Linked DNA regions of Stegostoma tigrinum. The protein of the gene in region 3 interacts with the protein of the main gene of each other region in a biochemical or structural test. Links are inferred from orthologs where the notes say so. Each region holds a gene or a part of one and is shown on either strand. Other genes may lie near its edges. The genes, in order: SH2B adapter protein 2-like, erbin, erbb2 and nck2b.

Region 1 (7,872 bases), on a different chromosome or scaffold from region 3:
GACACAGGCATGCAGAAATGAGAAATCAGAAGAGAATTAATAGTGTAAAGCAAAATAGTGGAAATAAGGCTGGAGGTAAGAGAAAAGGTATATAGACAGAAGAAGAAGTTCAGCTGTTATTGCAACTCGAAGCTAGACATTGTGGGGAAAAGCAGATTAATAAGAAAATAGCTGAAGGTTTAGTATCTAAAACAGCAAAACAGATTGCGGAAAAGAGAAGAGGTCTTAAAAACGTAATAAATAAAAGAGTAAAGGAGACTATGTCTAGGAGTAGTGATGGTGTAGAGTTGGAAGAGTTGACAAGTGAGAGTAATGAATTAGACGAATTGGGTCAAGAACCGGTGAAATTGAATAAGGAAGAATCTCTTGAAGTCCAAAGTTAATACACTGGATGAAATGTTAGATCAATTAGAAAATTATATAAGAAAAGGTAATCATTATGAGGTGAATAGGTGGATTGAAATGTGTACTGAGAGATTATTGGCCAAGGATCGAAAGGAGAATACCAGGGAAGGGGAAAGGAATAAAAATAAAATTAGTAAGGAAGGGAATATTCAAAGGAAATAGGGCCCAAAGGAGATATGCTATAAAGAAAGCTAAATTCCGTGCAAGTCAATTGTTATATAAAACAAAAAGAAAGCAACTTGCTAGGGAATTGATGGGAGCCCCCCCCACCGGATGTATTAATCAATTCACGGTAGAATATTTGACCGGTGTGTTTGAAGAAAAATTGGCTGGCTTTAATGATAAAGCAAATATCGCAAGGTTTAGACCTTACAATAGAAATAAGGATTATGAGAATGAAGAAGTTGAAACGGCCATTCGTGAATCCGACCCAAAAACTGCAGCAGGGGTCGACAATTGGGGGTTGAAAGACATTAAGGATATACACTTAACGAATGTCACTTGGCTCCCACGTCTCTTCACTGCGTGGTTGAGGACCGGAGTAATTCCTAAGGTATTGAAACAAAGTAGAATAGTACTAATACCTAAATCAGATGACCTCGATAGTCTTAAAGATATAGATAATTGGCGTCCTATTACAATAGGCCCGATTTTACTGCGGATTTTTACTAGAATTATGGCGAAGAGATTGAGTACGGTAGTGCAATTAAATATTAGACAGAAAGGTTTCTTGGCAGGGTCATCAGGGTGTTGTGAAAATATGATGATTTGAAGGAATATCGTTAAAGGAGCCAAGAAACTGGGTAGAGATCTGGCCTTTGTGGATTTGGCCAAGGCTTTTGACTCAATAGGGCGTAAACTACTTGCTAAAGCATTACAAAGGGTATCGCTGCGAGAGATTTTATTCAGTTGATGGTGAATCTTTATACTAACAACACGGCAGTGGTGGAGGGTAATAAGTTTAGAATGCCCCCCCATAGCAATCAACTGCGGTGTGAAACAGGGGGATCCTTTATCTCCTATGTTATTTAATATTGCGATGGACCCTCTGATTAGTACGCTTGAGGAGCTGGGAACGGGAGTATCAATGGAGTGGCAGAGTGAGACTGTCCATTGTACCGCATTAGCCTTCGCGGACAACATTGCTCTGGTGAGCAACTCTCATAGGGGTATGGTAAATAACCTGAAGATTGTACAACGATTCTGTGATAACACTGGCCTAAAAATTAATATTTGAAAAACAAAAGGCTTCCATTTCCAACATAAGAATAAAACATTTTTATATAATCATATGAAGGAATGGACTCTAGGAATTGGAACTGTGCAATATGTCAACCCCGGAGAGTATGAGAAATATCTCGGAGCCATGATTGATCCGTGGATTGGTGTGCGGTTGAAAAACGGGGAAGGAATTCTGGAAGAATGGACAGCAAACCTGGGGAAAGCAACTCTCTGATCGTTACAGAAACTAGAGATTTTTCGTTTATATTTCATACCTCGGCTGTACCACCATTTGGTTCTGGCGGAAGCATCGCAGAATTTGTTAAGCAAGTTAGACTCTTTTATTCGTGATTTTATAAAGGATATTTTACATCTGCCATCACATATAGCAAATGGGATAATTTATGCCCGCAACAGAGATGGAGTCTTAGGGATTCAAAGGCTGGAGATACAGGTCCCAATTGCAATTTTAAAGAAAAGGGTGGCGTTGGAGATGACAGATGACATGGTTATTCCCGTGTCATTTCAGTTTTGTCATGAAAGGAATATTGATGATGTTAGAGAACTGATGAAACTGAAGACAATGCAGGAAGTATGGCCGGTCAGGTTGGAAGAGCTAGACTTGGAAAATGAGAAAGTAGGGACAGTGAAAAGTCTGAGCTCGAACTACCGGGACTGGAGGAAGGTCGAATTATATAGATGGGAGTCATTACAATGCCAAGGATTGGGAGTACAGTACTTCAAGAATGATGATATCTCTAATGGGTGGATAAGAATGGCCTCGAATATGAAAACATCAAAGGTGATAAATACCTTACTGTTGCGTGCTAATGTCTATCCCACACGTACAACATTAACTCACGGGCAACCTCTCTGCAATAAGAACTGCCGGAGATGTGATACTTCAATAGAAGCGCTCCCTCATATATCGGGATGGTGTCCGGCAGTTAAAAATATGAGAATTAAAAGGCATAATAAAATTGCAGAAAGACTATATAAATTCATGAGTAGATATGGATGGAGAACTTTTGTGGAACCCCGAATAAAGGAAGCAAGTGGTAAAGTGTGGAAACTAGACCTAATTTTCCAGAAAGATAGTAAGGTTGTGGTTGTGGATGTAACGATATGGTTTGAAAATAATGAGGATGCCCTGGAAAAAGCAAGGGAGGAGAAAATTTTAAAGTACAGGCACTTGGCGAATAATATTAAGGAGATGACAAAGGGCGAGATGCCTGAATTTTATTGTTTTATAATGGGTGCACGTGGCAAATGGACCTTGTGGAATACTAACCTTATGGAATGTCTTGGTATTAAGAAATTCCGGATGTTTGCCCAAAAGATATCCAGATTAACCATCTCATTGACTCTGGAACTTTTACAGGTTTTTAATGACATGTTAAAGATTATCTGGACTCCGAAAAGCTCTGATAAGCAGCTTGCAGATTTTAACTTTTTAGTTTTAAGTGTGTGATTTATTTTATTGCATGTTTTTAAGTTTTATTAGTTTTATTGAATTTTAGATTAATTTTAGTGTGGTTTTATAGAGTTGGTATGATTTTAATAAAGTATAGTATTTTAGTCACAGGTAATGGTGGTGGGTAATAGGGTGTTTAATACACTTTTTCTTCCAACACATCAGATGATGGAAACAAGTTAAACTTGCTAACCCCTGATGTGTCTCCCCACTCAAGATTCCCGGCCTGGAATTCTGCCACATGATAGGAAGAGTCGTTCCCTGCATAAGATCTATAGAGGAGAGCTAGATGGTAGAACTAATAAGACGCATCGACGGGCGACGTAAAAACTCGGAAAAGGCACTGACTGAGACAGTGTAATCAATAACCTGAGCCACTGGGTGCTTGTTCAGCCATGTGATGTTAACCAAGAGCATTAGCCTGGATTTTGATTTTCCAATTGGCAGCATTAATGTCATACTGACTGGCTTCCAGTACAATTTATGGTGCAAACTTCAAATTGATGCCCCTTTTCCTCAGACCAATGCTTTCAGTCTGGATCACAACACTCTATGAAAGCCCATTAAAGAGTCAGAGAAAAGCAATTGTAACATTGAAGAACCGGCCAATGAACTGGCAAGATTTGTGGTCTTGGGAGGGCAATTCTGGTCCAGAATTTTTTTATTCAACCTGTTCAGGAATGTTACGACTTACCTCAGGAGCAGGTGAGATGTGTACCCAGACCTCCCGGCTCAGAGGTAAGGACACTACCACGGTGCCACAAGAACCCATTCAATTCCGGTCCACATTCAGGCAGGTGACCTCACTTGACCTGGCATCTCCCCTCACTCCTATTATTGGTCGCCCTGAAGCTAACTAGAAAGGAAACATTCTCCACTGCCTGCTTGGATGAGTCTGACTGAGTTCTATCATTTTCAAAACAAAACTTGCCCAGCTCCCAATTGGTTTTATTAAATCGTTTAGGAAATATTCAAAAGAAAGGGAAAGGAGCTGTAAAAGTTGATAAATGGCAATCCTGGTGGAAGGGTAATCCGAATTTCCATGAATCCTCTCTCCTTCCCTGATTTCCTGGAACAGCCAGGAACAACTGGGCAGCAGGACCTCCTTGGCTGAGCCAGATACCTAATCACCAGGAATACAGGGGAATCTGGAAGCCTGCCTATTGAAACATCAGGGAATTCTACCCCCAGTATCAGGAATCTGACATGAATCTCACTTGGTAGTGACTCTTTACAAGCGGGTTAATGGATTGTATCGATTTACTAAAGGCTTGGACACTGAGGATGGCTTTCTACCATGACCAATACATCAATAGGTCGGTCTCGGCAGATGGGAATCATCAGACAACTGGCACCACACATGTTGCTTTGGTAACTCAGACACAGATTGGGAATCAGCTGGGGAGACGTTTACAATGACATCTGAGGTGAACACTACTCACTGGCCCTGAGCATTTGGCAAGCACTTTTTGTTTCAAATTAAACTTTTTTTTGTCAGTTGCCCCCGAATTCCTCAGCTGTGATATCATTAAGGAGGCAGCTGTTTCGTGCTAAGTGAGTGAGAAGAGAGAAACACCCGCCCCCAAAAGCCTGGACTGGCCAAGATTTACATCCCAGCAGTGCGCAGGACCGAACTGAAACTGACAGGGACATCGTACAGGAAATTAACCAGCCCCGGTCATCGCTGGGACAAAAACAGCTGGCAGAAGCGGGAGGACGGCAGTGCAAACATCTGGAACCTGCTCTGGGCGTGAGTAAACATAGAACAAATAGCGTCGTGACACCATTATTGTATCGTAAAGAGGCGAGATAGCGGAAAAGGCTATGATGTCTCAGTAGTCATAGTTACAATGTGGGAGAGCAGCCTGCCTCCATCTGTGATGCAGTTCCATCTTGACAGGGATGGACGGGAGGGGAAAAGCGTGGGATATTGTAACAATGTGGGTGAGTTACCTCTTTAAACTGTGTGCGGACTGAAGTTCTGAGGCTGGGATTCGCCCTTAACCGCTGGTCACACAGGGTTAACCCCAAATTTAATTACTTCCCCTTCTTTCCCCCACCCCGACGCCCCCGCGTAGACATTAAGAATCAGTAGAAGACAGGAACCGATCAACATTGAGGTTATTGTTCTCCTGAAACAAGATTAACTGCATTCAAAACGAAATATTCCAAACATGCAGGAAACATCTCAATGAATTTGTAGAATTAAGGATGGTTTTATAACGATAATTGTTGAAAAGGACCCAGGTGCTGACTACGGATCTATTTGAAGCTGTACTCTTGGTCAAATTCTTTGCTATTTCTGCCTGCTAATTTTCTGATTTGTTTTCCTGAACTCTTGAAACACACGAGGTGATAGTTTTTGGAGGGCGGCTGATCATGTTAATGGATAATTTTACATTCCCAACAAAGAACAATGACTTCACCATTTCCTTCAAACCTCTATTTGCACCAATGCACCTCCTCTCTAACTTTGTGTGGGGATGGGGAAGAGATGGGTGTGAGACAGTTTTATAAATCCTGATCTATTTGTATTGATAGGAATCTCCTCTTGTGCACTGGATGTTGAATATGTATGAAAAGATCTTTCAAATGCCCTTTCCTTGCCCCTTCCTTTTACCCACTCCGGATCTATTTCTTTGACGTGCACTCTCTCATGCCCCTCATCTGCGTTTACTGTAAAACTTTCCCTTTGTGTAACTTCTGTTTTTTTTTCTTTTAATCTCTCCATCTTTCTTCTACATCCTCCTGGATAGGCACACAAAATGTGGATGATAGAAAGAGCTGGAAGTTAAGCTATAATTATATAAAGATCTATTGTACTGCATTCAATTCCGATTTCTGTATATCAGGAGGGATATAATGGCCTTGGATAGGATGAGCCTGATTCAATAAAATGATTTGATGCTAAAAGGACAAGTTGAGGAAATTAACCTTATATTCCTTTTTGATGAATGAATATTAGACGGTGATCTATTTGTATGGATTTGAAACAATTTTTAAAGGATTTGGTTGAATAATTCAACAGAAACCATCCATGGAGTCCATAACAAGACCTTTACAGCTGGAGCTAGACATTTCATTTAGTAGAAATTTCTAATTTTTTTTTCCCCAAAAGCAGCTGAGGTCAGAACAATCTTCATTGATGTTGGTGGATTTTATTAGGACAGGGGATGAAGATGAGGAAGTTGGGTGGATGGAGAAAGCAGAGAGGAAGATCAGCCGTGGTCTATCTGAATGATGGGATATTTTTGAGGGGGTGAATTGATATCATCCTCTTCCTATATCCTTCTGCCGCTTTTTAAATCTGTGCCCTCGTTTGGTTTCTGTTGGCAATCTTAGTGTCAATGTTGACCCTAAAATGAGCTTCTGACCACTGAAGCCAAACATTTCCACCTCCTGAAAAGCCATTGCCAGATCAATTACAAGCTGGAGTAGGTTAATCATTCCTTCCATTCAATGTGGTCATGGCTGTTGTGGTTACAACACCACTTTCCTTTAGCCTGTCATCCTTGACAGTGTTATCTATTAAAAATTTGTCCAACTCAGCCTTAAAAATATTCAATGACTGATTTCTGAGGAGGAGAATTCCACAGACTCTAAATCCTCAGAGAGAGAATTTCTCTCCCCCTCTCCATCTCACATAGTGTGGAAATTAAACATTTTGGGATCCCCTCTTTTTTGGAGGGGAGGAAAGTAGTTAAAAAAAAGAAATATGTTGGATGCAGGCTGTACAATTGGAGCTCTTTGTTGTGACCTGTTTGAGCACGGTCACTTCTGGGCTTAACGTACTCACAATGTCCAAGTTTGGCCCTGTCTCAGCTTATCTGCTGCTGAAATCCACATCCATGCCTTTGTTATGTCTAAACCCAATTATTCCAATTCACCTCTGGCTGTTCTCTCCCATCCTACCCTCTGTAAAATAAGATCTATCAAACCAGTATCTTAATTCACATCAAATCCCTTTCAACTATTTCCCCTGTACTCACCAGCTTGTTGGATTTCGAAGATCTGTGTCGATTTTGATTCTCTTCCCCCAGGGATTGGTCTGTGTTGCTGCTAAACTTCTGATTCACTCACCATCTAAATGACTTTCTCTAGAATCTTTGTAGTGCCATTAATATGACAGACTCATTAGTAATACCTACAACAATTCAGTCTCCTCTTGAATTCTGATCTTAAATCCCCATGGTCGTGTCTCTCCACAAAACTGTAGAAATTGTTGAAAGAAATTGTTTGTTGACTTCTCAGGTGTGTATCCTTCTGACACATTTTGCTGTAAGATTTTAAAAGCTATGATGTGGAAGGAACTGCGAAAGGTTTTCGATATCTTTTCGAGTGTGCATCTTGCTGCTTTTCACTCTCGGCGAGCAATACATCTTCTGCTGTACTCCCAACTGGTATACAAGAGTGTATTCACTTCATTTGTTCAGTTTCTGCCTTTGTACTTGGTTTCGAATTTATTCTGAGAGTAAAGAATTTCTACTCCAGAATGTCCAATTTTGTTTTCTTTCTCTCCCCATCTCTGAAATTAAATTTTGATAATGCTATTCCTGATGCCATGGATTCCTGATATGATTAGGTATTGTATCATCTTGTTTAAAACAAAAATATTTATTTTGCAGTAGTGGCAGTTCTCCCTCGCTTTGGTGTTGTGCTGGAAGGTTTTCCTGTTCTTTGCCACTTGAGGACTGATTAGGAGTGGCTTTGTGCAAGGGAATCATGTCTCTCAAACTTAATTGAGTTTTTTTTGGAGAAGTAACAAAGAGAGA
Region 2 (7,206 bases), on a different chromosome or scaffold from region 3:
TGATACATTTGTGTTGTTCCCTTAAAACTCCCTTAAAACTCACCTCATGTCACATTGCCTGAAGTGAGATTTTGCAGTATTTTTCAGTCTGTTTTTGCTGACTTTGTACCAACTGAAACATCAATATATCACAGTAATTGGAGTACCCATGAGTTATAATAAAGTTTGATAACATCTGTTGGTTCATATGAATTTATAACTATCTTTACTATATAGCGAAAATCACATATATTCCCATTTTTAATGGACAACAAACAGATTCCATATTTGTGTGCTTCCTATATATAAATAATATCATTGACATTTCAGTTTAAGCCTGAGATGGATTCTTAATCAGGAGAGGAGTCAAGGGTTATGGAGAAAGGATAGGAAAATTGACATGAGGAGTGTTGGACGAGCCATGATCTTATTGAAAAGTGGAGCAAGCTCAAAGGGCTGACTAACCCACTCCTGTTACTATTTCTTATATGGTTACCAAATATGGCACTGGATCTCAACAAACAAATCATCTGGGGTTGGGGCAAAGTGCTCCCCTTGCCAAAGTTATACCAGGCTCACAGAAGGATAATTTTGATTATGCAAGATCAAGAACTCAGCTCTAGAAAATTGCTGCAGGAATTCCTCAGGCAAAGTACTCTCAACATAAACATCTTCAGCAATTCCATAAATGATTTTCCTCCTGTAATTAAATCAGGAGGAAGACAATTTGCTAATATTTCCACAGCAGGATCCCTGCAGTGCAGAAACAGGCCCTTCAAGCCCAACAAGTCCACACCGACCCTCAGAGCATCCGACTCAAACATACCCTGAACACTACAGGCAATTTATCATGGTCAATCCTCCTACACTGCACATCTTTGGACTGTGGGAGGGAACCGGAGCACCTGGAGGAAACCCACACAGATATGGGGAGAACGTGCAAACTCCACACAGACTGTTGCTTGCGGGTGGAATCAAACCCAATGCTTCGGGCTGCGAGGCAGCAGCACTAACCACTAAGCTGCTGTGCCACTGTTCATTCACAAACCTTCTACTTGTGAAGCAACCAGGCGAGTTTACTGCAGGATTTGGGCAATACAAAGGGCTTGGCCTGGCAAAAACAAATTAAAAGCCAGGTAACTATGTTTTTGCAGGAGAGAGCCCACCCATCTCCTTTTGATCTTCAATGCAGTAGTATCAAGGGTTATATGGAAAAGTCAGGAAGGTAGAGTTGAAGATTATCAGGTCAACCTGATAATCTGATTGAATAGTGCAACAGGCTCAAAGGGCTGAATGGTTGATTTCTGATCTGGTGTCTTATGATCTTATTTTTTCACTGTACATTTTTTCTTGGGAATCACCTTGAATCATCTCTTAACTGGCCATATACTAAACTAGGGCTTACAAGAACAAGGCAGAGGTCAAGAACTTTGCAAATCTCCTTTTGACACTTCAGAGCCACTCTACCATCTATCGGGCTGAAGTGATGATTGTGAAGAAGATGAACCAATTATCTGATTGGCTGCTACCATGAGACCATTCAAACAAGTCAACCCCACCTGATCTGCTTGGTCAGCAGCCTTGAAACTAGGCTCAGAATTCACCCTCTCAGTGACTAGCATGAGACTTTATTTGTGGGGCCTGCACTAATGTGCTTCTGTGCTTATTTATATAATCATGCTCAACATGTAAGATACATTGCAGTCATTCACTCAGCTTATTTCGACAGAACCTCCTGGCTCCAAAAACCTTTTCTGGGAAAAGTGCAGAATAATCAGAGCATTGCATCACTGCCAAGGTATAGTTCCAACTTATCCACACTACCCTGACTTGAATGCATCCTCCCAACTTTATTACCTGGTAAAAATCCTAAATGTCTAACACGGTTACGAGAACACCTTCCTCACAGGGATTGCAGTAGTTCAAGGAGAACGATGCGATCATATCGTTAGGGAAGGCAGGGATAGAGATAAAAGCTGCTTTGTCAGCATTGATCTCATTCTGTGAATAGATTACAGAACACAGCAGATTCTATCTGAAAATATTAAGTTACCCAAAGGCAATTTCTGAAATTACCGTCAGACTGTTTAAAAAAACATTCTTATCGTGCTGGTCTATATTCACAAAACTAATTTTAAAAATCAGTTTTATAGCTTTGAGACAAATAAACTGTTTAATAATGTAAATACAAATAGTTCTTTTTAAATTTTGATTTACAAAATGATGGAGTAAAACCCCTTAATGCTTTCATAGTACAGCTACATTGAAACGATAGACAGAAACTTGCTTGAACACGATGGCGCAGGTTCAAGGCAAGACGAGCGCAGTTCTTTTTGAAGATCTGAGATTATGCGTGCATAGAAGCTTATGCAGGATGCAGACAGGAAAGTATTCAGGAAGGAAGGGTTGCACCGATGTCTCGGTTGTGAAGACAGATTCTGATAACACGACATAGTACACGGAGGAAACTAAAGGAGCATGTTGGTCCAAAGCAACTGCCTCAGAGATTGCGCTGCACAGTCAGCTTCGAACGCTTAACGGGTTCCATTTCTGGGGGGAAAACAGAACCTAACATGCACTGCACTGTGATATATTTGTGAATCACAGCAGTTCAAACAAGCAGATGATACTGCATTTGAATCTTCCCATTTCCAGGCGACAGTATTTACTAACACAGCGTATTTGTTTCTCCCTTCATAAAGCAGACGAGAATCAATTCGACGCGGACTGCACAGTCTCATGATTTTCTTGTCTCAGTTTCACGTTATACCTATTCACATTTTACATGCGAGAAGTATATTAAACAAAAGCGGATTCCACGCGTTGGACAAGTCAACATCTGTGAAAGGAGAAATCAATTAAATATATACCGATTCAAGGGTTTCTGCGTGTCTGAATGTCTTTAAGATATATCCTACTTTGTCACAGAAAAAAATATAAATGGCCCGGTGATAAAAATCACAGATGTGGCACAAATCCGACATGATCAAAACTTGGTTGTTTCTTGGTCTTTGTTTACTGAATAGAATTTTAAAAAATTGATTTGAGCACGGTACAGCGAGTTCGGAGTTGAGAGTGTTAAATAAAATGAGTGAATTCATGTGGTGTCCGTGTTACAAACCGATGTTGTGGTGGCCGAGTCAGACAATGAATCTGATCCAAACAGAATGGCGTTCAATCCGTGCGACAAGTTCCACTCTGTGCCTGTGCCAAAAGAATGAGTTTTCAGTCAGTCACTATGTCCTTCTCAAAAGCGGTTTGCCTCATATATAAGACAACGGCATATCTTATTTGGATTCGTAAAGCAAACTGGAAAAAAAATTACATTATTCTCTTCAGAACTCACTGTATGAATGTAAATTGCTTTTTTTTGCGTGCCAGCCCGGTTTTGGAAATTATTAACCGGCAGGAGGGGAGATTGAGAAAGACACAATGGAAGTGACTTGGCACAATCTCGCGGCCTCAACTTCCCCCAAAGCATCAACTTTAGTGCAAATGAGGACGGCGGTGTGCTGGAAAATGATATTAATAAACCCACCTCCAGCCCCTCCCTATTCTCATCCTCAATCCCATCACCTCCCTCCCCCCACCTCCACCCTTCAAAAAAATCACCCAACCAGAGGAAAGGAAACTTTAAAGCAGAGACGTGGAAGAGACCGCCCCTGACCCAGGAGCAGGAGATGATTGGGACTGGGGATGCTGATTGACAGGGGAGTGTGGAGGCCGCAGCGTGTGGTTGCTTGAAATGTCAATCAGGGCGCCCAGGCGACATTGTAGCCGCTGGAGACAGCTGGCGCTGTTGCTTTATCTTGTCGGTGCATATCTGCCTGTGTTTCACTTCACATTCTCCCCTCCCTCCCTAAACTACACACACACACCCCTCCTTCTCGGTCAGTGTGCTGTGTCTGCTGAGGACGCAGTGGTTTCTACTGGCTGCTTTCTCTCTTCATTTGCCTGAGGCTCTGGGGAGTTGCGCGAAAACCTGGAGCGATGTGTTGGTGATCCTGTCTGCATCGTTAACAGAGCCAGACACGGAGGGGAGGGAAGGGGGGTGGGGGGTGAAGAAATTAATTTCGGATGGATTTGGGTGCGGCAATCTTACAGTAAGAAAGGAGCCGGAGTTGGGGGGGGGGGGGGGGCAAGTTATTTAATAAAATAAAGCTGCAGCAGGAGGAAGAACCACATCAGCTCCTTCCTGAAGGTGAAACTCGGCGATAGGGGACTTTTTTTGACTCCCTTGTTGCATTTTTTTTCTTCTTGACTTATCGAGTCTTGGGAAATGCTGTCGATTGCCCGCCGTTTCCTGCTTTGAAAGGACTTGGTACATTTTCCCCCTCTCCTCCCACTGTCGTCTTTTACTCCATTTTAATTACTTTATTTTGCGTGCGAACCTCTAAATTCAGCGACGGATCTGAAAGTTACTTTCGAGACGACAAACCGCGAGAGACTTGGTTGCATCATTGGAGAGGAGGGGGGAAGAAAGAGAGGGGGGGGGAAAGACTTGCAAAAGTTCAGCGCGCAGAAGATTTAATTGGTCTAACTACCATCGACAGAGATCGGAGAGCTTGTGTTGAGAGCTCGCGAGTTTTTCCTTTTTTGTTTTAATATTCACCCCCCCTTAAAAAAAAGGAGAAATTGTGTTTGGTCCTGCCTCGGCTCTGAATACCACATAAAGCCCAGCTCTCCCCCCCCCCACCCCCGGATCGAACCTTTGGATTGTTTTGAAGTTTAAATCGGAAGCCGATGAAGAAGCGGGCCGTCTGGATCAGTGGCGAGTGAAGGTAAAATGGCTTGTGCTTGGAATTTGTTTTCGGCTTGGTTTCTGCTCGCCTTCGGAGGGAAGGCCTACACACTCTTTTCTAACACCAACCTTCCTCCCCCCCCAAAAAAAAAGGTAGTGCTAGGATAGCAGTCATGACCTACACATCCAAACCCGGTGTAAAACATAGCAATCCAAACGAGAGATAAGTATTGTTTATTTGGTGAGAAGAGAAGGAAGTTTTGCATTCGAGGTGTTTAAACCTTGACCAGTTGACGCTGTTCAAGGTCTAAACGTATCAGACAGAGATCCCTTTGTTTAACTTCAGGGCTTGAGCCGAAACAGCTTATTGCATCAACACTGGCATGTTCACAGTAACGGTGTTAGAAGATAAATATTGTATTTACTTGCTCGGATAAGTGGCTTGATATTAGGAAGAAGCAACTGGCATATCTTTTGGATGACAGGAAGCAAATGTTAACCCATATTCCAACCCTCCCTTTCTGATGGAACCTTGACCTCGTTTTTCAATTTCTGCTGGCGGTCCGAAAAAAATCTAGTGTTGAAAATACGCGGAGTCGATCTTTATATCCGTCTTTATATCCATCTTTTTGATGCACAGGTACATGCAAACACGCATGTGTTGGTTTCACAGCTACCCAAATGGTTTGAGATCAAAATTAAGTCGCTGTCTGTAGCTTTGAGTTAACAGAAGAGTGTAAGTATGTTTGAAGGTTTTGAGTTGCAGTTCCTTAGAGTTGAACTGAATCTTGGTGCTCTGTGGTTTGTTACTCACTGGAGTGTGAAGCTGTCATCAAAACTTTCAAAACAATAATGTTTGCTGCTTATGCACAAGTCCCAGAAATATACTTTGTAGAAGTGCTATAATACAACCGAAGGCATGTGCATAAACAAGTTGCCGTAGTTAGCCTTTCATAATAAGGTACATATGTAGGGACGGAGGAGTGAAGTGGCAGTGTTGGTTTGTGGTGGTGCTGTGTTACAGTTCTCATAGACTAATGAATTGCTCTGGCAATGTGTACCTTTTACTGTATGTTGTGATCTGGATCAATGGTTAATGATGTTGGAGGTTCCACTGTTCTTTGTCACATGGCCGGCCAGGAATGTCCCCCGCCCTTGCCATCTGTCACTGGCATGTGTTTGAAGGATTTGCAGGTTGATATTTGATTATTCCATTTGGGAACCCTGTAGCCTTCTGGATTTAATATCAAATTCAACAATTTTACAACTTGAGCACCTTTCCTCATTTTTCCACCACCAAAATGTACCAGGCCTTGTCATAACATAGGCTGCGACCAGACATTATCTATTCTTAACTACTAATAGTTCCCGTTAGCAGCTGTTTATTCTCCTAGCCTGGTATTTATCCACGTCTTTGTTTATCCTTCTCTTTGGGGTCTATCTCCACGTAATGTTTACTCCCATACCCCCCTACGACCTTCTGTATAAAACAAATCCTTTTCCTAGCTACCATCAATTCTGAAGGCTCACCACACCTAAATATTAACTGATTTCTCTCCACAAATACTGCCACATCTGAGATTTTCCAGCAATTTTTGTTTTTGTTTAATGTCCAATCTGTTTGGCAACATTACAGATGCACTTTGTTTGGCTATCAAGCCTTGGAACGGGAATTGAATCCAGAGCTTTTGGGCTTAGACACAGGAACACTAACCACTATGCCAGAAGAGGAAAAGTTGCAGGATAAGCTCAGCAGGTCTGGCAGCATCTTTCGAGGAGAAAACAGAGTTAATGTTTCGGGTCCGGTGACCATTCCTCAGAACGGGACCCAAAACATTAACTCTGTTTTCTCCTCCACAGATGCAGCTAGACCTGCTGAGTTTTTCCAGCAACTTTGTTTTTGTTCCTGATTTACAGCATCCACAGTTCTTTTGGGTTTTACTATGCCAGAAGACCTGGTGGTGTCTTTTTTTATTTGTTCACAGGATGTGAGCATTACTGCCTGGGCCCAAATGGCAATCAAGAGTCAACTGCATTACAGTAGGTCTGGAATCACCTTTTATCCAGACCAAGTAAGGACAGCAGGTTTCCTTCCTTGAGCAACATGAGTGAACCAGTCTCATTTTTATGACATTGATAGTCATAACCCGGTGGCCGTTGTGCAGGTTTTACTCCAGGATTTTTAAAAATTGAAATCAAAATTCATCATCTGCTTTATGGAAATTGACCCCATGTTACCGGAGCGTTGGCCTGGGGTCTTGGATTGCTACTCCAGTGACATGACCACCACATATCCATCCCCCAAAAAAAGAGAATGGCAGCTATTCATTAATGTCTCCACAGTGATAAGTCATTGTAGATCCACTGGAAACAGACATGTGCTTGTTCAATGCAAAAAGTTGTAAATGAAGCCCATCACTGTACTGTACTAGAGTATATGTATGTTTGGAAAAAAATGCGGGACTATGGAATAAAGTAAGACAGGG
Region 3 (7,488 bases):
TCCCTGTTCTTTTCCAAAATGGTAGTCAAACTGATCTTTTAACTTTACCTGAAAGGTCAACATCAGTTTATTTCTCAACCAAAAGTTAGCAACTCCGACAGCACAGCACCCTCTCTATATTGTACAGATACTTACCAATTGAACTTGCTGTGATATTTAACATAACCCTTATCTTGGGTTTCAACTCTACTTTCTCAATCACTCAATATTTCTCTGCTCTGAGAGACCAAAAATATGTTCAGCCTTAAATATATTCAACCACAGAAATTCCACAACCCTCTGGAACACGACTTGATGACTAGAATCAAACTCTAATAAGAAACCTGATCCTAGAATTTTGACAAATGAAATTTTACAAATAATGTGCCAATTGTCTCAGAGCTGGGCTTCTGATCCTATCTCCTTTCCATTACCAAGGCCACCTATCTGCACATTTGTAACATTGGCCACACCCACAGCCAAAATCATCAACAACACATTTTTTAGTTCTGGGTATAAAAATATCCAACAGACTTGCAATTGGTCTCATCTTCTGCCCTCTAATCACTCTACATCATCTGAAATTCCGTTCCCACAAAACTAATTTTCACGGAGTTACATCCACCAATCACCTCCACTTTCAGTGACTAATGTTGCATTGTCTCGCAGATCTGCTGCACAACCATTTTAAAATTCTCATATTCAGATCCAAAACAGTCGAGCACCTGGCTCCTACAAATCTGAATTATTTCCTTCGCATTTCCGATATCACCAAATAACTCACCTTTTCAAAAATAATAACCAACGACCCCAAGGGAGTGCCGAGGGAGCGCCGCACTGTCGGAGGGTCAGCGCTGAGGGAGCGCCGCACTGTCGGAGGGTCAGCGCTGAGGGAGCGCCGCACTGTCGGAGGGTCAGTGCTGAGGGAGCAGGCACTGCCGGAGGGTCAGTGCTGAGGGAGCGGGCACTGTCAGAGGGTCTGGGCTGAGGGAGCGGGCACTGTCAGAGGGTCTGGGCTGAGGGAGGGTACTGTCGGAGGGTCAGTGCTGAGGGAGCGGGCACTGTCAGAGGGTCAGTACTGAGGGAGCAGGCACTGCCAGAGGGTCAGTGCTGAGGGAGCGGGCACTGTCAGAGGGTCAGTGCTGAGGGAGCAGGAACTGTCGGAGGGTCAGTGCTGAGGGAGGGTACTGTCGGAGGGTCAGTGCTGAGGGAGCGGGCACTGTCGGAGGGTCTGGGCTGAGGGAGGGGAACTGTCGAAGGGTCAGTGCTTGGGGAGCGCCGCACTGTCGGAGGGTCAGTGCTGAGGGAGCGGGAACTGTCGGAGGGTCAGTGCTGAGGGAGCGGGCACTGTCAGAGGGTCTGGGCTGAGGGAGCGGGCACTGTCAGAGGGTCTGGGCTGAGGGAGCGGGCACTGTCGGAGGGTCAGTGCTTGGGGAGCGCCGCACTGTCGGAGGGTCTGGGCTGAGGGAGCGGGAACTGTCGAAGGGTCAGTGCTTGGGGAGCGCCGCACTGTCGGAGGGTCAGTGCTGAGGGAGCGGGAACTGTCGGAGGGTCAGTGCTGAGGGAGCGGGCACTGTCGGAGGGTCTGGGCTGAGGGAGCGGGCACTGTCGGAGGGTCAGTGCTTGGGGAGCGCCGCACTGTCGGAGGGTCAGTGCTGAGGGAGCGGGCACTGTCGGAGGGTCAGTGCTGAGGGAGCGGGCACTGTCGGAGGGTCAGTGCTGAGGGAGCGGGCACTGTCGGAGGGTCAGTGCTGAGGGAGCGGGCACTGTCGGAGGGTCAGTGCTGAGGGAGCGGGCACTGTCGGAGGGTCAGTGCTGAGGGAGCGCCGCACTGTCGGAGGGTCAGTGCTGAGGGAGCGGGCACTGTCGGAGGGTCAGTGCTGAGGGAGCGGGCACTGTCGGAGGGTCAGTGCTGAGGGAGCGCCGCACTGTCGGAGGGTCTGGGCTGAGGGAGCGAGCGCTGTCGGAGGGTCTGGGCTGAGGGAGCGGGCGCTGTCGGAGGGTCTGGGCTGAGGGAGCGGGCGCTGTCGGAGGGTCAGTGCTGAGGGAGTGGGCGCTGTCGGAGGGTCAGTGCTGAGGGAGCGGGCACAGTCGGAGGGTCAGTGCTGAGGGAGCGGGCACTGTCGGAGGGTCAGTGCTGAGGGAGCGGGCACTGTCGGAGGGTCAGTGCTGAGGGAGCGGGCACTGTCGGAGGGTCAGTGCTGAGGGAGCGGGCACTGTCGGAGGGTCAGTGCTGAGGGAGCGGGCCCTGTCGGAGGGTCAGTGCTGAGGGAGGGGGCACTGTCGGAGGGTCAGTGCTGAGGGAGGGGGCACTGTCGGAGGGTCAGTGCTGAGGGAGGGGGCACTGTCGGAGGGTCAGTGCTGAGGGAGGGGGCACTGTCGGAGGGTCAGTGCTGAGGGAGCGGGCACAGTCGGAGGGTCAGTGCTGAGGGAGCGGGCACAGTCGGAGGGTCAGTGCTGAGGGAGCGGGCACTGTCGGAGGGTCAGTGCTGAGGGAGCGGGCACTGTCGGAGGGTCAGTGCTGAGGGAGCGGGCACTGTCGGAGGGTCAGTGCTGAGGGAGCGGGCACTGTCGGAGGGTCAGTGCTGAGGGAGCGGGCACTGTCGGAGGGTCAGTGCTGAGGGAGCGGGCACTGTCGGAGGGTCAGTGCTGAGGGAGCGGGCACTGTCGGAGGGTCAGTGCTGAGGGAGCGGGCACTGTCGGAGGTGTCACCTTTCCGTTCACACTTGGCCTGATTGGGATCGTCCGGGCTCCTGATCGCTGTCGGTATTGAGCAGTGACTATACCTCTCTGCCGCAACACCCCTGCCCGCAGCGACACGCAATCTGAGGCCACGGCTGGATCACCGTCCCCACACTAGCTTCCTACTCTCCCCCAACCGCCGGAACACCGTCCCAGCCTTATCTCACCGCAGGCCTTACCTGGCCTCTGGGCCGCACCGAGCGCTGCGAGGAGCAGAAGCCCCGCGAGCCGCATCGTCCCGCCGGCCGCGCGAGCTCCACTTCCGGCCGGAGCGGAGTGGGGCGGGCTCCGGCGGTGGGCGGGGCACATGGTTGCGGTGGGGACAAATAGCGGGCGGGGCTTTTGGATTGTTCTACGGGGGTGGGGGAGGGAAGGAAAATGGTGGGGCTGTGTGAGACCGTGGGGCCAGCAATGAGGGCGTGGCTTGTCGTGTGCGTGGAGCAGGGATGAGGGGCGGGGCTTGCCGTGTGCGTGGGGCCGGGATGAGGGGTGGGGCTCGCCGTGTGGGTGGGGCACAGCTGTGGGGCGGGGCTCGCCGTGTTGGTGAGGCGAGGAGGAGCTTGGCCTTTGTGTGGGCGGGGCCAGAGAAAGGTGAGGTTAATGGCGCCGTGTCTGGCTGCGGAGAGGGCCCGGCGGTACGTTTACCCGCTGTTAGTGTGCCGGGGGCCGATGAAGGTGTAACGCAGTAATCCTGTTGGATTGTTGTACGTGTCCGTCTCTGGGATTCCCGCCCGCCTTGACGATGTGGGCTAATGCCTTGGCCTTGTACTGCTTGGGCCTTGCCGCTGTCTGTCTGCCTGCCGCCTCTTGCTCCCAGGGGGACCGGGAGCCCTACTACCGCCACTGCGTCCAGATGTGTGGGCGACACAACTGTACTGGAGCCCGGCTGCGGATTTTCCACAAACTGCAGCCCCTCTACATGATGGCAGCAGGTAAGGGCCACATCCCCCAGGGTACGCGCCACCCACCCCCCACCCCCGGACCCCGAACCCCGACTCTCGTCGGGGTTTCTGTCCGTTTTGCTTTCATTGCATCAAAATGAGTGGGCATTTGATCAAGAATTATTTTCCTTTGTTTCTTTACTCAGACTGAGGCAATGCCCGTTGATTCAACAGTTGTCTTTTCCCTATTGCAGTGGCCCTGAAGTTAGTTAATTTGTGGTTGAGTTGCTTGTTAAAAGTAGCTTGAATGTTGACCATGTCTCTTTCTACTGGCAGGTTGGAGTTGTGCTGATGACTGTCAATACAACTGTATGTGGCTGACAGTGGGACTGTACGTTCAGGAAGGACACAAAGTGCCTCAATTTTATGGCAAGGTGATGTGGGTGCTGCAGTAATTTAAATTATTAATTGATACTGACTTTGGTTGGAGCATTCAATATCTGATATTCCTGGGAACCAGTAAGACCACGAACCCTTATTGTGAACCCTACAATGACCACTTTGGTGTGACCCTGAGCCCCTTCACAAAAATATTGCCTGTAATTTGATGTTTCTCAAGACCATTTGTTGAGCCCCACCACCACCACTGCCCTGGCTAAGGATGCTGGATTGTTTCTTGACTGAACTAGTGCTTCTCTTTCTTTTTGCAGTGGCCCTTCTACCGATTTCTGTTCTTCCAAGAACCTGCCTCAGCCTTTGCCTCTATGCTGAATGGACTGGCCAACTACATGATGTTGGGCAGGTACCGGGCTGCAGTGCCTCTCGAATCTCCGATGTACCATACATGCATCTCCTTCGCCATGGTAATGACAATACTAAACTCTGCTGTTGTAAAAGAGTTGGTGTCTCTCGACAGTGCAGTGAAGAGATACTGTAGAACAGGAAGCAGACTGATACAGCCTGTTAGAGGTCCAGGAAAGCAAATCACCCTGAGTTTATCTTGCCTCCTCCTGTGACCACATGCATAGCTTTCCAGAGAAGTTGGGAGCTGGGGCTTGTTTGCAGTTTTAAATTTTTGCCCATAATTGAGGGTGTTTTCACGGAGAGATCGGTGTTGAGTCACCTCCAGCTTGTACGGTGCTGCTTTAAGTCCGAGTGACTTTATGAAGGTGTAATTAGTGCCTTTTAGATTTCTCCCAGTTACAATCTTGAATTGAAGTGCCAAGAGATTATACTAAATTTTTGTCAGTGATAGGTTTGACCCCTGCTGAAATGTTGTCCCATTCTGGGCACCGCACTTTGGGAATGATGTCAAGGACTTTTGCAGAGGGGATTTACCAGATTGTTTTCCCAGGGGTGAGGTATTTAGTTAATTAGGAGATGCTGGCACAGTTCTCCTTACAGCAGATTTGATAGAAATGTTGAATATCGTGCAGTAGCCATAATGTGTGAATATGTGAATTTGTCCAGAAAGAGCAAAGAAACAGCAGATTATCTAATAGGAGAGATTGCAGAACTCAAATGTTCAAAGCTGTCTTGTGTCCTGGTTGTTGAAGCAAAAGAACTATGCACGCATGGCAAGCCATTAGGAAGGCAAGTGGAATGTTGGTGCTTACTACAAAGTGAATAGGATATAAAAGTAGAACTGTTTCGCTCCAGTTATGCGTGGTGTTGATGAGACCACATCTAGAATACTGTGTAAGGTATTGGCCTTATCAGAGAACAGGTTCTACTAGATTTGGGGCTATATAATGTGGCAGCATTAATTAATGACCTCACAGTAAACCTAGAGGTAGCAATGATGACAATATGATTAAATTTTGTGTCCTGTTGGAAAGGTAAAAGTTAGTATAAGACTATATTTTAAACATAACTAAGAGTAACCATGTGGGTGTGAAAGCTGAGCTAGCTGAAGTGAACTGAGCTGAGCTATAGATGAGGGATGGATCAGTAGATGGCAGAAGGTCAGCTTTACAAATAAATATTTCATGGAATGATGGTTGCCATCACTTCTTGCCCTGAAGATGATTGTGGTGAGCTGCTTCCTTGAACCATCGACAAGATGCACAAGAGAAATAATCAAATCTCCTCAGACCATGCCTTACAAGCCCACAACTCTTATCTAGGAGGACAAGAGGAGCAAATTAATGAAAATACCACCATGTGAAAGTTCCCCTCCAAGCCACGCAACACCTTGGCTAGGATGTACAGTAAGTGTTGGAACTCCCTCCCTAATGGCATTGTGGGTATAGTTTCAGTAACAGTACTGCATATCCTAGCCAAGATGGTGGTTTGGAGGGGAGCTTGCATGCGGTGGTTTTTCCAGTAATCTGCTCGTCTTGGCCTCCTAGATAAGTGAGCTTGTAAGGCACTGTCTAAGGAAATTTGATAAATTTCAATAGTGCATCTTGTAGATGGTACACACTGCTGCTACTGAGTGCCAGTCTGGAAGTAGATGCATGTACATGTCGATTGAGCTGCTGTTTTGTCCTGAATGGTGTCAAGTTTCTTGAGTGAGTTTTGGCATTGCACTTATCCAAGTGGAGAGTATTCCACCACACTCCTGTCTAATGCCTTGTAGATGGTGGACAGGCTTTGGGGAATGAGGAGATGAGGTACTCCTGACAAGTTTCTAGCCTCTAACATACTGTTACAATCATACAGAAGATGCCTGTGGCCCACTAAGTCTGCATTGACAAAAATACCCAATTCTCACTAGACCCACTACCCAGCACTTGGTACGTAGCCTTGATTGTTACGTTTCATGTTCATCCAACTACTTTTTAAAAGTTGAGTTTTCCACCCTAAACAACCCTCCCAAATAGTGTTTCAGATTCCCACTGACCTCTAGTTGAACAAGATTTTCCTCAAATCTCTATAAACCTTGTGCCTCTCACCTTAAAATTATGGCCCCTTGTTATTGACCCTTCAACCAAAGGGAAAAGCTGGTTTCTTTCTACCCTGTATATGCCCTCCATAATCTTCTATACCTCCATCAGGTTTCTTCCTCTCAGCCTTCTTTGCTGCAAAGAAAAGGTGCTGTGCTTATCCAGCCTCTGTTTATTGCTGAAATGCACCGTCCGGGGCAACATCCTAATGAATCATCTCTGCACCTGCTCCAGTGCAGTCACATCCATCCTATTGTGTGGTGTCCAGAATTGCATTCGGTACTCCAGCTGTGGCCTAATCAATGTTCTGTACAGCTGCACCATAGCTTCCCTTCTCTTGTAAGCTATGCCAGACCTGATAAAGGCAAATATGCTGTACTTGGGCCTTAACTACCCTAATAACCTATCCTGCCATCTTCAAAGATCTGTGGTCAAAGCACCCAATATCCATCTCGTCCCCTGACCTTCCTAGCATCCTGCCATTCATTGAGTGTTCCCTTGTCTTGTTACCATCACCTCTCATTTATCAGGGTTAAATTCCAACTGCCACAGGTCTGACCAATCTGCCTATCCTTCTTGTAATCTAAGAATAGCACTGAATATGAAGGGGAAATGGTTAGATTACTTCTTGTTAGAGATGCCCCATGGCACTGTGACACATCCTAGTTTCCACTTACCAGCCCAAGCCTGTATATGTTCAGTGTCTTTGTGTTGGAACATGGACTGCTTCAGTAGCCGAGGAGTCAAGAATACTGCTGAGCATTTTGCAATTGTCAGCAAATGCCCCTACTTCTTACAGAAGGAAGGTCATTGGTGAAACAGCTGAAGATGGTTTGCTCTATTACCCTACCCTGAGGAGCTAAGGCTTAAGTGGTACAATGTCTCTATGCCAGTGCTTAAAGTGTGGGTTGAAGTTCTCCCCTGCTCCACAGATGAGCGATAACACTTGTGATCAGCTTGACTGGAAAGTATTGACGCAGAGTAACTCCTTTAGAAAC
Region 4 (8,026 bases), on a different chromosome or scaffold from region 3:
AAAACTTAATGAGATTTTTGGTTTGTTTTAGTGGTCCTCAAATGGTGAGAAGTGACAATGGATCTCCATTTCACAGCAATGAGTTTGATAAATTTGTAAATTATGTGGACTTCACTCATCAAAAACCCTTGTTTCCAAGAGCTAATGGAGAGGTCAAGAAAATTCTGTGTACCTTTAAGAAAGTGACTTGATGAGAACAAGTTTTGGAAGCAGGAGACCTATCATTTTATTTGCAATTACTCGGCAAGCACAGCTCCTCAATTGACTATTTTGAAGTTAGCATTTTCAAATGTAAACAAAAAGTAATTTCAGTGGCTTGCCTGGCAATATAAATCACTTTACTATGTCACCAAAAATCTGACAGAACAAGAACCTTCCAAACTAATGGCTGAAATAGGTATAAAACAAATTACTTTAACCAAAAAAAATGTTCCCAAGGGAGAAATCCAATGTCTAATTATAGAATCCCTATACTATAGAAGCAAGCTATTTGGCTCATCAAGGCTACACTGATCCCTGAAGAGCATCCCACCCAGACCTGTCTGCCCACCCCATTCCCGTAACCATGCATTTACCATGGCTAACTCATGTAGGCTGCATATGCCTGGATACTATGGAGAATTTAGCATGGCCAATCCACCCAACCTGCATATTTTTGGACCATAGCAGGAAACTGGAGCACCTGGAGGAAACCCACGCTTACATAGGGAGAATGTTTCCTGACGATGGGATTGAACCTGGGTCCCTGGTACTGGGGGGCAGCTATATTAAACACTGAGCCACTGTGCTGCCTATATGGAAGAGTAATTTGACAATTTGGGATGGCAGTCTTTTTGACATATTGAACTGTGTACAAGTGAGCACCCATTGCATTGAGATCTCAACAGAATCTTCTGAAGACAAAAATGGAGACATAGGGTGGTATCCAGGATTGTTATACTAAATCAGATTGTCAAGAGTCTGAATCTGCAGGACAACAAAAGTGAAACAAAGCAGTCTGTGCTCACTGCCAGGATCTGTTCTATTCCGTTCTTCACAGATGCTGAAACTGACTCCAAGTTTTCAACCTGTTTAGAGAACACCTTGCAAGCCATGCCTGCAGCGATAAGAGAAACAAACCTTATTTTCATATTCAGACATAATTTTTACCCTTACTAACCTTGAGTCTTTGCATCAGTGTATTAGCCAATAACTTTTTTTTATCACATTTTAACAAAATAACTTTCGTTGAACAAATCACCTTTTATCTTGTTTAAACCATGCTGCTGGTTATTTTTCAATTGAGAAATCCAGAAACCGAGCACTCTGAAGACTGGCCTGCCATATGTGAATACAATCAAGAACCAAAGGATTAAATATAAATAAGTACAGCGTGATCCATACAATTCAGACCATGTAAACCAGGAGATAAAGTGCTGGTGAAATGTGATGGCCAATTTAGAAAGCACAAAGCTCTTTATGACATGCAGACATTTTCTTGTGGCCAATATAAAAAGATCAATGATCACTGATAAGCCTGTTTTGCAAATCATCCCATGAAATGTGTCATATTTCAAAGTACTGAAAACACTATTTGCAAATGTTGATTCTGACTTAGGTATTGACAACTCAGATAAAAAAGCATGAGTTAGGCCATAAGACATAGGAGTGGAAGTAAGGCCATTCAGCCCATCAAGTCCACTCCGCCATTTAAATCATGGCTGATGGGCATTTCAATTCCACTTCCCTGCACTCTCCCCGTAGCCGTTGATTCCTTGTGAGATCAAGAATTTGTCGATCTCTGCCTTGAATGCATCTAACGTCTCAGCCTCCACTGCACTCTGTGGCAATGAATTCCACAAGCCCACCACTCTCTGGCTGAAGAAATGTTGTCTCATTTCAGTTTTAATTTTACCCCCTCTAATTTTAAGGCTGTGCCCACGGGTCTTAATCTTCCCGCCTAATGGAAACAACTTCCCAGCGTCCACCCCTTCTAAGCCATACATTATCTTCTAAGTTTCTATTAGATCTCCCATCAACCTTCTAAACTCTAATGAGTACAATCCCAGGATCCTTAGCCATTCGTCATACGTTAAACCTACCATTCCAGGGATCATCTGCGTGAATCTCCGCTGGACACGCTCCAGGGCCAGTATGTCCTTCCTGAGGTGTGGGGCCAAAAATTGGACACAGTATTCTAAATGGAGCCTAACTAGAGCTTTATAAAGTTTCAGAAGCACATCGCTGCTTTTATATTCCAACCCTCTTGAGATAAACAACAACATTACATTCGCTTCCTTAATCACGGACTCTACCTGCAAGTTAACTTTTAGAGAATCCTGGACTAGCACTTCCAGATCCCTTTGTACTTCTTCTAAACGAAACCACATCTAACTTTAGACGATATTCTAATTTTGATAAAAAGACGTAATTAAGTGGTAAGTTACAAAGTGATCAGAGATAATGGGAACTGCAGATGCTGGAGAATCCGAGATAACAAAGTGTGAAGCTGGATGAACACAGCAGGCCAAGCAGCATCACAGGAGCACAAAAGCTGACATTTCGGGCCTAGACCCTTCATCAGAGAGGGGGATGGGGAGAGGGTTCTGAAATATATAGGGAGAGAGGGGGAGGCCGACGGAAGATGGATAGAGGAGAAGATAGGTGGAGAGGAGAGTATAGGTGGGGAGGTAGGGAGGGGATAGGTCAGTCCGGGGAGGCCGGACAGGTCAAGGAGGCGGGATGAGGTTACTAGGTAGGAAATGGGGGTGCGGCTTGAGGTGGGAGGAGGGGATAGGTGAGAGGAAGAACAGGTTAGGGAGGCGGGGACAAGCTGGGCTGGTTTAGGGATGCAGTGGGGGGATGGGACGAGCTGGGCTGGTTTTGGGATGCAGTGGGGGAAGGGGAGATTTTGAAGCTTGTGAAGTCCACATTGATACCATTGGGCCGCAGGGTTCCCAAGCGGAATATGAGTTGCTGTTCCTGCAACCTTCGGATGGCATCATTATGGCACTGCAGGAGGCCCATGATGGACATGTCGTCCAAGGAACGGGAGGGGGAGTTAAAATGGTTCGCGACTGGGAGGTGCAGTTGTTTATTGCGAACCGAGCGGAGGTATTCTGCAAAGCAGTCCCCAAGCCTCCGCTTGGTTTCCCCAATGTACAGGAAGCCACAACGGGAACTATTTTAAGTTGGTGAACAAATCTTTAATCTCATTGCATATGACTAGCAGCATTGCTACATTAACAGAAAAGTTAAAACATGTCATAGATGTTACTCCGAGTTGAAAGTTCACATTGTGCTCAGGTTATTGTTTGATGTCCTGTAAACAAACCATTCAAAACATAAAACAATTCTCATTTACCAAGAGACGCAGGGTTGTAGTGTATTAAAAATTACATTATGCATTTTGTCCACTCAAGGTAACAGCTCATGTCCCAAAAAAACTGAATCTAGAAGAATAAGGAAATCCTGCACATACAACAGTTCTGCTTCTCATTGAACATTATTATTTCTTTCCATGAACTTTACGTGTTATGTTATTACATTGATAATAAAAAATTAGCAAGCAAATTGTTATGGGCATGTATATCCAGAATGCCACATCATTCGTTACTGTACTACAGTCAGGTATTAAGCAACAATTGAACACCTTGCAGCACAAAATACATTTTAAAAAAAGCTCCAGCGTGCTGTGTGTAAAAGTGTGATTATTTCAAACTTTTGTTGATTACATTGTGTATCATGGCAATGAAAATGATCTTGCTTGACAATGAATTGAAGATAGCAATGTTCATAGCAGAGTAATACAATTGAATATTGGGGTGTGTTAAAAACTCAATATAGAAGCAAATTATTCAGGCGTTCTGCCTTTTAGATTGAGTAAAAAAATTAAAACTGAAATTTCTGAAATTTCTTAGGCAAATACATTAAGAATTATGAAAAATTGCAGGTCGAAGGAGTCAAGATGAAACTTGGCCATGAGCAAACTGCATGGTGGAACAGACTTATGGTGGCAAATTGGTCCAATCCTGCTTCTATGTTCCCAGTACCAAAACAGGCAACTCACTTAACCACTGAACAATTGGCAAAAGGTCTGAACTTCTACATTAAATTGTTCACAAATTTCATTGGCACCAGAGCCAGTTCTACTATATCTAATATTCACATGAGTGGAGCTTTCCTACATTCTGAGTGTTAACAGCCAGGTTTCAGAATTTTTAAAAATGTTAAACCAATTGCTCTGCAGAACTTTAGGTGAAAGTCTAACTTTATTCAAATGAGACTTCTTTGAATCTCCTACAATATAAGGGAAACACAAACACCAAGTCCAATTCAGAATTACAAAATTATTACCATTCAGGAGGCCACTCAACCCATCGTGGCTGTTCCAGCTCTCTGACCATTTTGGATTACTGTCAAACTACTACATTTTCCTCTTTACCGTGCACTTTATATATAGTTAGATAATCATACTCTGGACCACGGCAGTTGAATCTGCCTCCGCCACAGTTTCAGCTAGTGATTTCCAAGACTTTGGTGAAAAAGTTTTCTTCCTCACCTCGGATTTGCATCTTTCGAAACAATAATTTAACTTTTATTAGTATGGGATACAATCAGAAGAACTCTGCAAGTGTCATGTGTGAATTCTGTCGAAGAAAATTGGGTGAAGTTTTAAAGAGGGGTCAGCATTGATCAGCAAATGGCGTTCCCCACACACAGACATCAGGAATGTATTGCAAGCCCAAGAAAAGGGAATACTCGCCGGTTCCCGAACATCTCCTCCCTTTTAGCTAGCGCTGGGCAAACGGACGGCATCGCGCATGCGCACCCTGCCCAGCGATGGAACGGGGGAAAGACGGTTCTGCTTCTGCGCACTCGGCCACGTCTGGCGTATTCCATTTGCTGTGATCCGGGGAGGAGAGTGGATCGGGATCGGGATCGGGATCGAGAGAGGAGGCAGAAGAAGAAGAAGAAGAGGAGGGGGCAAAGGAGAGAATCGAGGCTGCTCGGAGTCGTTGGCAGGAAAAGGAGATAGTGGAAAAAAGGACGGACGATATATACAGTCGTTGGAGAAGAGGAGCAGAGCGGGAGAGGCCGGAGGTGAGTGCTGGTGCTTGCGGGCTGCCGGCTCTGCCGCTGCGGTGGCGGCCTCGGTGTCAGGGCCCTGCCCCCGGTACACGATGGCGCATGGCCCGGGGTGTAATTGGTGGGGGGCAGCGACGGGCAACAACTGTCACTGGGCGAACTTGGAGGCTCCTCGCTTCCCAGTAACCATTCAGGTGCGGAGCAGAGCAGAAAGCAGCATCCTCAGGAAAAAAAAGACAAAAGCAACACACCACCTCCAAAAAGTACAACTTCCTTCACATGGACCATTTCCTTCTCTTTTTTCCTTCTTGACGAAGCAGAGCTTTAACATTACTTGTTGGGCTGTGATTTCCAATTTTTTGATGCATTAAACACTACCCGCTTTGTATTCCGGATTGATGGTTTGATAGCAAACGAGTTATGTCCATTTTTGAACCTCTTGGACCACATGCATGCTTTATTTTTCCTCTCTTTTTAATTTTAATTTCGTCTCCGCAATCCTTTATTTCTTACTGGTGAGATACAGTTAGTTTCACAAGTGCCTCTGTGAACTTTCCTGAGTTTGTGTTTGGATTTTAATAGTTGGCAAGATGTCACGTTGGTCAGTTATTTCCAATGTAGTTCAACACAGTGTTGATCCAGCATCTACACTCCAGCAGTTGCATTTCTATATCTCCCAAAGTGTCTCACAGGAACATAATAGACACTAAGCCCAGAAATAGATTTTATGGAGAGAATTAAAGCAGTAAAAAGCCATTGAGAGTTCTGTGGAGGGAATTTGAAAGTAGTATTTAGACAGTTGAGGTCATTACTATTGATAGTGGAATGAAGTCAATGGGAAAGTGCTTTAAGAGCCTGAAATTCTTAGAACATTGTAGAATTAGAAGAAGTTACTGAGATTGGGGAGGTAAATGATTGTGGAGTGATCTGAACATAAGAATCAGAATTTAAAATTCTGAAGTGATAGGCATTTAGAATTTAATGCAAGTATGGATATGCTCAATAGCTCAAGTTTATGATAAGAGGTAGAAAGTAGGCAGTATATGAGAATGTTGGAATGAATGATCAATGTGGGTAGTAATGTCATGGATAAGTATTTCGAACTGTCAGCTGAGACAGGAGTTACAGAGGTATGTGTAAGATGGCCTTCATGATGAAGAGGTTAAGTATGGTACCTGAGATCCCAACACTAGTCCAGCTTCAGATACTTGCTGAGGAGGGCTACGTTCAGCTGGTAATGAGGGAAGGGAGCTTATAGAGAGGTCCAAAGTAATGCCTTTGGTCTTCTCAGTGTTTAAAGGAGGAATTTGCATTTCAAGAAGTCGAGAGCAATGATTCCTAATTTGCCTTTCCCAGTATAGCTTGCAATGGAATTCATAAAGACTGGATCTTCAGCCCGTGCAGTTATGGTCTGTATAGCTGTTTGCTTAAATTCAAGCTTCTGTGGCCATTCCCTTTTTGTATTCTCAGCCAGTGAAACAACAAAATTAGTGGCTTTGTGTGCTTAATCTCAAGAGATGCATGAGATTTTGTAGAAATCTGACAGTTAAATGCTTTGCATGTAGGTGGTTCCTCAAACTAGCAATGAGATTGTGGTACATGTAAGTGAAAGATTTTGCATTTCAGGATGTGAAAACTCTTGCAATCTAGGAGTGCCGATAGCTTAGAAGTTTCTTTTCACTCATGGTCTATGGATGCTCCATGAGTTTAAGTGACTTCAGTATTTAATTTATGCAAAAATCATAAGTATTGAAGCAAAGCAGTTTTGTGGAGAGGTTTGCAATTTTGATCTCTATTAAAAGCATTATCAGATGTTCAGTCAAATAATATTTAAAACTATCAAAACTGCATTTTGAGATTATGAATTTGGATGGCATGTCACTGTTTTCTAGCTTAATTCTGTTTCATGAAGCCATTTGAGTGTTAACGATAAGCATATGGTTAAAATAACAACAATTCATATTGTTAATTCATAGTTTTAAAACTGGGAGCACCTAGAATAAAATCTTAAATTCCCTAAAATTGCTTTCTTTATCTTAATCTAATAGGGATTGTAACATACTATTTGCTGACCTAAAGGCTTATAGGCACATCATGAAATTGCATTATATTTCAGCTTGCATTGTCCCAGATTTACTGTAATAATGACATTGAAACTAACAACTTCTGGAGTGTGTTTGTGCAGTTAAATACAGGAATCTCACAATTGCTGCCAGTGACGCTATGCTTTCCTGTAGAACACATGTGACCCCAGATTGTAACAAGTAAAAATCACTGAATTAACAAAACTCATTTTCTTATGCTGCTAATTTCACTGTAAAATAGCCTTGAAAATTCTTTTTTGAATGAGGCATAACTGAGTTTTTAACAGTTTACTTAATAACTACTTCTGAGCATCTTATCCCTGGGGGAAAAAAAATGAATTCTGTATTGAGTGTCAAATTTCATCATTTTGCTTTTTTAAAAAATATATTGAATGTTTACAGTTGAGCTTCTATTTTAAACACACGTTTCTGGGCCAATCAATCATTTGACGTCTAAAATTTTATTTATAAGTGAAAGCATGTAATACATTTTACTGAGATAATGGGAACTGCAGATGCTGGAGAATTCCAAGATAATAAAATGTGAGGCTGGGTGAACACAGCAGGCCAAGCAGCATCTCAGGAGCACAAAAGCTGACGTTTCGGGCCTAGACCCTTCATCCATAGGATGAAGGGTCTAGGCCCGAAACGTCAGCTTTTGTGCTCCTGAGATGCTGCTTGGCCTGCTGTGTTCATCCAGCCTCACATTTTATTATCTTAGTACATTTTACTCACTAGTTTTGTGATCTGTGGGAATATTAGTGTGTTTGGTGGTTTACTCTGCTTGATGACATAATTGTTTTCGGACACCTACCAGTCCCCTTGGCTTGGCACCGGAATCAACTGATGTCTGGAAATGATAAATTCGTGCTACA

Evidence for each region.
Region 1: the proteins of erbb2 (region 3) and SH2B adapter protein 2-like form a complex in vitro, tested with the Homo sapiens proteins (2 studies listed by BioGRID and IntAct, with this or other methods). The link is inferred for Stegostoma tigrinum from reciprocal best matches to the Homo sapiens genes ERBB2 and SH2B2.
Region 2: the proteins of erbb2 (region 3) and erbin form a complex in vitro, tested with the Homo sapiens proteins (4 studies listed by BioGRID and IntAct, with this or other methods). The link is inferred for Stegostoma tigrinum from reciprocal best matches to the Homo sapiens genes ERBB2 and ERBIN.
Region 4: the proteins of erbb2 (region 3) and nck2b form a complex in vitro, tested with the Homo sapiens proteins (2 studies listed by BioGRID and IntAct, with this or other methods). The link is inferred for Stegostoma tigrinum from reciprocal best matches to the Homo sapiens genes ERBB2 and NCK2.

What each region holds. Positions count from the first base shown.
Region 1 is NC_081380.1:2,456,139-2,464,010, forward strand, and holds the start of SH2B adapter protein 2-like, read left to right. Parts: upstream 1-4,734; 5' UTR 4,735-4,850; intron 4,851-4,933; exon of another isoform or gene 4,934-5,044; intron 5,045-7,872. UniProt on the Homo sapiens protein: Adapter protein for several members of the tyrosine kinase receptor family. Involved in multiple signaling pathways. May be involved in coupling from immunoreceptor to Ras signaling. Acts as a negative regulator of cytokine signaling in collaboration with CBL.
Region 2 is NC_081356.1:111,630,271-111,637,476, reverse strand, and holds the start of erbin (erbin), read left to right. Parts: upstream 1-4,106; 5' UTR 4,107-4,760; intron 4,761-7,206. UniProt on the Homo sapiens protein: Acts as an adapter for the receptor ERBB2, in epithelia. By binding the unphosphorylated 'Tyr-1248' of receptor ERBB2, it may contribute to stabilize this unphosphorylated state.
Region 3 is NC_081384.1:1,011,778-1,019,265, reverse strand, and holds the start of erbb2 (receptor tyrosine-protein kinase erbB-2), read right to left. Parts: upstream 3,112-7,488; 5' UTR 3,031-3,111; coding exon 2,901-3,030; intron 1-2,900. Other genes in the region: pgap3 (post-GPI attachment to proteins factor 3), read left to right, coding at 3,464-3,653, 3,939-4,036, 4,313-4,465. UniProt on the Homo sapiens protein: Protein tyrosine kinase that is part of several cell surface receptor complexes, but that apparently needs a coreceptor for ligand binding. Essential component of a neuregulin-receptor complex, although neuregulins do not interact with it alone.
Region 4 is NC_081359.1:64,799,200-64,807,225, forward strand, and holds the start of nck2b (cytoplasmic protein NCK2b), read left to right. Parts: upstream 1-4,966; 5' UTR 4,967-5,082; intron 5,083-8,026. UniProt on the Homo sapiens protein: Adapter protein which associates with tyrosine-phosphorylated growth factor receptors or their cellular substrates. Maintains low levels of EIF2S1 phosphorylation by promoting its dephosphorylation by PP1.